Ovis aries: one gene and its partner. The protein of the gene in region 1 purifies or fractionates together with the protein of each later gene. This does not show direct contact. Links are inferred from orthologs where the notes say so. Each region holds a gene or a part of one and is shown in the gene's direction. Other genes may lie near its edges.

What was found.
Region 2: the proteins of SSH1 (region 1) and YWHAE purify together in Homo sapiens (affinity purification with mass spectrometry; 3 studies listed by BioGRID and IntAct, with this or other methods). This does not show direct contact. The link is inferred for Ovis aries from reciprocal best matches to the Homo sapiens genes SSH1 and YWHAE.

The regions. Positions count from the first base shown.
Region 1 is NC_056070.1:64,290,361-64,294,723, forward strand, and holds the start of SSH1 (protein phosphatase Slingshot homolog 1), read left to right. Parts: upstream 1-1,463; 5' UTR 1,464-1,549; coding exon 1,550-1,618; intron 1,619-4,363. UniProt on the Homo sapiens protein: Protein phosphatase which regulates actin filament dynamics. Dephosphorylates and activates the actin binding/depolymerizing factor cofilin, which subsequently binds to actin filaments and stimulates their disassembly.
Region 2 is NC_056064.1:22,417,735-22,421,546, reverse strand, and holds part of YWHAE (14-3-3 protein epsilon), read left to right. Parts: intron 1-1,914; coding exon 1,915-2,114; intron 2,115-3,812. UniProt on the Homo sapiens protein: Adapter protein implicated in the regulation of a large spectrum of both general and specialized signaling pathways. Binds to a large number of partners, usually by recognition of a phosphoserine or phosphothreonine motif.

The DNA.
Region 1 (4,363 bases):
CACTGCAGGGGGTATGGGTTCATCCCTGGTGGGGGAACTAAGATGTCACATAAAAAAAAAAAGTCCAAACCACCCCCCAACCCGCCACAAACCCCGTTGAGAAGAATGATACTGAGGGAATATGGAGGAGGTCCCAGCCCCTGGATCTACGGGAAAGAGCGGGAGTATCGCCCAGGCTGCCTGTGTTGCTGGTTTGGCAGTGAGATGCACGGAACAAGGACTGGACCAGTAAATTTGCGGTTGCGTGCGTGCTTGGGCTGGGTGAAAGAAGAGAAGTAGGGGATTTGGGTGAAACTGACGCTAAGTCAAGCCGCCCTCTTAGTATCTTCCTCCATGTCTCTCTCTCCCATCCCCACACTGGCCACCTACCCCAGGACAACAAGAGCAGCCTATCCCGGGCCTCCCTTCACGCCTCTGTTCCACAGTCCATTCTCTAAGCCTTAGCCAGAGCTTTCTAGAGAGCACCCTGACTCCCTCTTCCCCATCCCTGGGCTTCAGCGGCTGATGAAAATCTTTCCGTTTCCGGCCACTGTGCAGGCTCTCCCCTGGAGATCACGCCCAGCAGTCCACTCCCACCCTCACCCGTTAATCCTGCTCATCCGCCAGGTCTGAGAGCAAATGCACCCTTTTTGGAGACACCCTCCCTAACTTCCCAAGGAGTTAGCTGAGTTTCTGGATACATGGTGGGAATTCATATAAAAAGATGGGCAAAAAAAAAAAAAAGATGGGCAAAGTGAGTTTCTAGCAATTTAATTTACTTTCATAAAATCCCCTGAAAAGTGAAAGTGATGTTACTCAGTCGTGTCCGACTCTTCAGGCAAGAATACTGGAGTGGGTTGCCATTTCCTTCTCCAGGAGATCTTCCCAACCCAGTGATTGAACCCGGGTGTCCTGCATTGTAGGCAGATGCTTTACCATCTGAGCCAAATCCCCTAGGGCAGGTCAATTCTATGTTGTTTACTGTCGAATACTCCACGCGGGGCACTTGATAAGTGCTCAATAAATATTTCATAAACGAATGAATGAACGAACAAACGAATTTATGCAGACCCCTCCTCGAGGTTCAAGGCGCAGGGACGAGCATGTTTTTATTTTCTGTCTCTATGCCTGCTTGCTCCGCGCATTCCAAGCTGCGCGGCCACGGAACCTCAGTTTCCCCGGCCTGCGCAGAGGAGGGGCCTCTTGGGGAGGACTTGCTCGCCGTCGGGCGCGCCCCCGCTTGGCGGGCTGGAGCGGGAGCGCGCGTCGGGTGCGCGCGAGGGATGTGACTGGCTGGCCTGGGCCTCCCGCCGCCCCTCGGGCTTCCCGCGCCGCGCACGCGCACGCGCGCCCCGCGAGGGCCACGCCCCCCGCCCGCGCTCAGGCCCGGCGCGCGCCGGCGCGGGGGGCGGGGGCGGCGGCGGACGCCGACGGGGAGGGGCGGGCCCGGCCCGGCTCGGCCCGGCCGCCCGCGCGCGGCTCCTGGAGCGCCCCGGGCCCGGCCCGGGCGGCGGCGGCGGCTTTAGCCGGAGGCCTCAGCGGCGCCCGGGCGCCGTACCGCACCGCAGCCATGGCCCTGGTGACCCTGCAGCGCTCGCCCACGCCCAGCGCCGCCTCCTCCTCCGCCAGCAACAGCGAGGTGAGCCCCGGGCCCGCGGCCCTGGCCCGGCGGAGCAGCCGCCGCGCGAGGCCTGGGCCGCGAGTGCGGGGCGCGGGGCGCCGGGGGCTGCGCCGGGACAGCTTTGAGGGGTCCTCGGGCCTGCGGGGACCCCGCTGGACGACCCCCTGGGTTGCCGGCCTGGGGTGACTGCAGTGAGACTGTGCAGTGCCGGTGTACCCCCATCTGGGGTTGACTCTGTGTGTGTGACCCCTGTTTGGGGGTGACTGTGCATGAGACGTTGTGTGTGACCCCCGTCGGGGGTGACTGTGTGTAAGTGTGACCCCCGTCTGGGGTTGACTCTGTGTGTGTGTGAGTCCTGTGTGGGGGGTGACTGTGTGTAAGTGTGACCCCCGTCTGGGGGGTGACTAAATGTGTGATACTGCCCCCTCGCCCCATCAGGGGTGACTCTGCAGGGTACTTGTCCTGAGACTGAAACTGCTGATTGGGTAGACTGCCTGAGATGCCGGTTCTGAGATTCCGGACCTTGTGTGTCTCTTCCTGTGTGTTCCGGCCTGTCCCCTGGGGCCCCTGCCTGTGTAGTGCTGGGGGGAGAAGCCGCAGGGGTGCCCCGTGAAGGTGTGAAATTGTTTCTGTAGTGCACGCCCCTGGCTGTGGGTGTGAGTGGCAATCCCTTGTCACTGTGTGACAGTGAGCTCAGGGTGCTGGGTGACAGTGTCTTAGGTCTCTGTGTGCAGCTCAATCTGGGCTCTTCCTGTCCCTGATATCGCCTGAGGCTGGCTGTTTATGTGCAGCTGGCTGTATGGCTGAGGCCGATTCTGGGGTTCCTGTGATCGCCCCCGTGCTTTGGGGGGCTGAATGTGCCTCTCTGAGCAGTGCGGGTTTCTCTGGGTCTGCGTGTGACCCGGCCTGGCTCCTTGCCCTGGAGTCCCTGGGGAATTCGTCCTCTGAGCGCACAGCTGGGCTGGACCGAGCTTGGCTGGGCCTCAGGCCTCTGAGCAGGAGAACTAGTTAGGGCCTTGGGTCTAAACTCAGCATCGGTGGCCAGGCTGAGTGTTGACCCGTAGACACCGCAGCTGGAGGAGGAGACGGGAACTGTTTATAGAGAAGGGAGAGGAGGCTGCTGGGGGAGGGCCCTGCAGGCAGGCCCAGGAAGTGACCCCGCCAGCATCTGGGCAAGTCAGGCCCCTTCTCCCTGGGGGAAGTTGACTGATAACACTGATAACGTTTGTGTGTGTCTGTGAGAGAAGAGGACCTATTTGGGGTTTAACAGCCCTGCCTGTCGGGCCGGCTTCTGGTGGGCAGCTCTTCAGCCTGTTTCGTTGGGACTGGCAGGAACATTTCTCAACCTGGCTGCAGGGTTGAACCTCACAGCCCTGGCCCTCTCAAGGAGAGGCCATTCATGAGTTATCTTGCCTGCAGACAGAAGGTTCTAACAATCCCTGCTCTACACGGCAGCCAGTGGCCTGCAGGTGGGAAGTGAGTGCGGCAGCTTCTCACTTCCCGCAGAGACATCTGTTCCCTTACATCATTTCTACTACCGCTGTCTTGCAGTTTACAAAGTACTCCTCTGCACTTAATTTCATGGTCCCTTCTCAAAACCAATGGGTGAATAAATCAGCTCCAGGAAGAGGTTATTCAGACAGCCTATCAAACCTGAACGTGGAGTGAAAGTGAAAGTCGCTCAGTCCCGTCACACTTTTTGCAACCCCATGGGCTATACTGTCCATGAAATTCTCCAGGCCAGAATACAGGAGTGGTGGGTGAAAAGTGAAAGTGAAGTCACTCAGTTGTGTCTGACTCTTTGTGACCCCATGGATTGTAGCCTACCAGGCTCCTCCCTCCATGGGATTCTCCAGGCAAGAGTACTGGCGTAGGTTGCCATTTCCTTCTCCACAGGATCTTCCCGACCGAAGGATTGAACCCCGGTCTCCCGCATTCCAGGCATTTAACCTTTGAGCCACCAGGGAGTGGTGGGTTGCCTATCCCTTCTCCAGCAGATCTTTCCAACCCAGGGATCAAACCCAGGTCTCTCACATTTCGGATTCTTTACCAGCTGAGCCACCAGGGAAGCCTAAGAATACTGGAGTGGGCTATCCCTTCTCCAGTGGATCATCACGACCTAGGAACCGAACCGGGGTCTCCCGCATTGCAGGCAGATTCTTTACCAACTGAGCTATCAGGGAAGCCTGTCAAGCCTAGGCCTCTGATTCTAAACCCCACCTTCCTTGTGTTACTTTGCATCCAGTCTACTGCTCTAAACACGTTAAAAAAAATTTTTTTTTGACTGTGTTGGGTCTTTGCTGCCCCAAGGCATGTGGGATTTCAGTTCCTTAACCAGGGATCGAACCCTCCTCCCCTGCATTGGAAGGCAGATTCTTACCCTGGACCACCAGGGAAGTTACCACATGTAAAATTTCTTATTATTATTATTTTTAACCAAGATGGAATTCACATACCACAAATCTGCCATTTTAAACTGTACAATTCAGTGGTTTTTAGTACATGCCCAAGGTTGACCAGCCATCACCACAGATTGCAGAACGTTTTCATCACCCCCAAAAGAAACCTCACAGCCCTTAGCCATCACCCACAGCCTCCCTCCCACCAACCCCTGCCCTGCCCTGCCCTCACCAAACTGTAGGCAACCACTAATGTTCTTTCTGTTTCTACGAATTTGGCCTGTCCTGGGCATTTCATGTTAGTGGAGTCTTACACTGTGTGGCCATTTGTGTCGGGTCGGTTTCCCTCAGCCTCATGTTTTCG
Region 2 (3,812 bases), on another chromosome or scaffold:
AGTGTCTCCTACGTTGGCAGGTGGATTCCTTACCTAGTAACCTTAGCTTTTACCTTTACCTTAGCCCTAGGTTGCTTTTTAAATTGCTTTGTTGGAGAACTAGTGTGGCAGTGAGCTTGAAATGATACCCCTTAACTCCTAAACACTGCCACAGTCATTTTTCCATGGCTGTGGTTAAAAAAAATTGGATGTTTCAAGTGAATGCTCTCAGGCTCCCACAATGAATTAATGGTCTTATTACCGTATATGCTCTGGTATTTTTTTTTAAGCTTCAGAATCGCCTTAAAAAATTCAGCGGTATTGAAGTAAGATTTTATAATATACCCAGTTTACACATAAAACTGTTTTAGTAAATGTGTTCAGTTGTGTAACCACCATAGAACAATTCTATTTCCCCAAAATTTCCTTTGTACTCCTTTGCTCATCAGCCCCTCACTTCACCCCCATGTCTTGATAGCCACTTCCTTTTATAGTTTTACAGTTTTTTCTCTAACTCGATTTAAGTGGAATCATAGTCCATTTAGGTCTGGCTTTTTTCAGTTAGCATGGTGTTTTTTAAATTCATCCATGCTGTTACTTGTATCAGTAGTTTTTTATTCTTGAGTAGTATTCCATTGTATGGATGGACATTTGGGTTGTTTTCACCTTTTGAATGTGATAAATAAAGTTGCTCTGGACATGTGTATAGTTTATGGTGTAAGAAACTACACTGTTTTCTAGAGATCATACCATCTTAATGTTTGTATTAACTTACTGTATTAACTCCCTGATATACTTCCTGGAAATACAATTTTTGAAAACATCATTTTGTGGGATTACACATAATTTAGTATATCATTAAGCAGTGTTTCATAAAGTCACCATCTTCAGCATATACTTATTATGTATTATGCATAGAATGTATGCTAAGGATGTTTGTAAAATGCAGATCCTTGTGTCTCATTACCAAAAGTTCTTACTCTGTAAAGTTGGAAGTCACATGGTGGTAACGACATTTAGTCATTTTCAAAACCATAGTTTTAATTAATATATTTGTTTAATTCTTTGCAATTCTTTGTATTTATTTCTTTGCCCGTATCAGATCTTAGTTCCCTGATGAAGGATCAAACCTGGGCCCCCTGCATTGGGAGCACAGAGTCTTAGCCACTGGACCACCAGTGGACCACCAGGGAAGTCCCTTCATTAATTATTTGTTCAGTTAGTGTTTCTTGAGGGGATTTTGGTTCTTCCTTTGCATTCACATGCATTTTATTACATTTTTTCCCCCTGTACTCAAGATCTCCCAGTGTTTATCTGGGCCCCTTTGTTTGCTCGCCATCTAGTGGTAACAAGTAAAAACCACCCAAATGAATGAATTCATAGGTGGTGGACAGTCCCCTTCTAAAGGAGGAAGGATTGGAAAATCCAAAGATAAGTTTGTGACTAACGAAAATGCTCGCTATATGTTTGCTATATAAATGAATGCCCTTTCCTCCCATGACTTTTTTTTGGGGGGGTAGGAATTCAGTATTATTTAGTTGGGAAATAATTTGAGAGAAAATGCATTTTAGAGCCTGTAAATTTAAAACTTTTGTCCTAAATGGCCAGCTGAATTACTTTTACTAGGAAATGGGTTAGGTGTACATGCCTAATTGTCTTACTTACATGAGAGAGATGCCTCCAAGCCATACTAAATTATACTTGGTACTATATGAAGTCATTTTCTAGATCCTCTTGTTCTGAGCTCTTAATTTACTTTGTCTTTTACATGTTTTTTAGTTTTTTTGCTCATGCTAGTTTGATTGTGAAAGCAATATTTTGCTAAAAAATGTGTCTTTTGTTTTACATTAGCTGGACAGAAAAAAAGATTTACTGTGATAGGGATGTTTTAACAAAACTTAGTTTCTAAGGTCTGATTTTTCTTTTCACTTATAGAAATGGTGGAGTCAATGAAGAAAGTAGCAGGGATGGATGTGGAGTTGACAGTTGAAGAAAGAAACCTCCTATCTGTTGCATATAAAAATGTGATTGGAGCTAGAAGAGCTTCCTGGAGAATAATCAGCAGCATTGAACAGAAAGAAGAAAACAAGGGAGGAGAAGACAAACTAAAAATGATTCGGGAATATCGGCAAATGGTGAGATTGTTACATCCTAGTGTTAGAGTCGCTCAGTTGTGTTCTGACTCCTTTGTGACCCCATGGACTGTAGCCCACCAGACTCCTCTGTCCATGGGCTTCTCCAGGCTAGAATACTAGAGTGGGTTGCCATTTGCTTCTCCAGATGATCTTCCCAACCCAGGGATTAAACCTGGGTCTCCTCTATTGCAGGCAGATTCTTTACTGTCTGAGTTACTGGGTGGCCTGCATATCCTAGACATATCTTGTCATATCCTGTGGTTTAGTCGCTAAGTCATGTCCGACTCTTTGCGACCCCATGGGCTGTAGCCCACCAGGCTCCTCTGTCTATGGGATTTTCCAAGCAAGAATACTGGACTGGATTGCCATTTCCTTCTCCAGGGGATCTTCCCAACCCAGGAATCGAACCCAGGTCTCTTGCATTGCAGTCAGATTCTTTACTGACTGAGCTGTGAGGGAAGCCCAAAGATTGATGTCTGAGGTGTTAGACTATTGAGACCTTAGCCTAGTACACACATTGTTGTATACCTGTGTAGTGTATATTTTATATTTTACTGGATTTACATCTTTTACTCATCTGGGTTGAGAATTAGAGGCTATACAGTATTTTAGGAGAGAGAAGACTTTTTTTTTTCCTGAAAGCTGCAGAGAGCACCACACAAGTAGACAACTAATTTAATCATTATTTCTATTGTGGTGACTACAAAATACTTCATTGAGTACCTTGAAATTACCATTCTGGACAGCTTAACCAGTATTCATGTGCCTGTTATGTACATCAGTTGATAGGTAATATGGGTACAAAAATGAGATAGTTAATATCCTTATGAAAGATAGGTCTAGTCAGTTTTTATAATAGAAAATATCAGAGGGTGTCAGGTATTGGTAAGTTTATTGTCTCAGATATTATATGTGGGTTTACACTGATGTGTAATGTTTTTCTTGCTGTGGCTTTTGGTCAAGAAAGTTTAATCTAGTGCACTGGTTCTCAAACCAGAAGTGACTTTGCTCCTCAGAGGACATTTGGTAGAGACATTTTTGGTTTTCACAACTTGAGTGGGTAGAGATGAGGTTACTGCTAAGCATCCTATTAGGCATAGAGTAGCCCCCCCCCCCCCCCCCCCCCCGTTGAGTGTTGAGAAACTGATTCTAAACACACTTTTAAAAGTACAGTGGAAAACAAACAAAAAAATACAGTGGGAGAAATTAAAAAAACTGTCACAAAGTTAGCATGGAGTGAATTTGGTGGATAGAGGGAAAGGGGAAACAGCATTTGCTGACTTACATGATATATTTCTGAATTACAAAATATGTGTGCAAGTTACTGTATTTAATCTTTAAATGACCCTGTAAAGGGTAGATATTATTCTAGTTCCTAGATAAAGACGGGTGTTCTGAGTGATTAACATACCTGGGATCACATAGAAAGTGGTGAGCTGGTACCAGTGTGACCATTACCTTCAAACACATTGGAACGAAGACTAAAGATTGTCGGTATTCAGGTTGGTGTTTCAGAGGGATGAGGAAATGAGGAGGTTGAGAGTGCTGAAGGGAGAAGTCTGTGTGCTAGATTGTGGGATTTGGGGTAAGAAGGAAAGGAAGCAGGAAGCAAAGAGAGGAACTGATAAATTGGGAGAAGATGAAAGAAAAGAGACTGGAGGTCTTGATGTGTCTCTAAGTATAAATAACAGGAGTAAA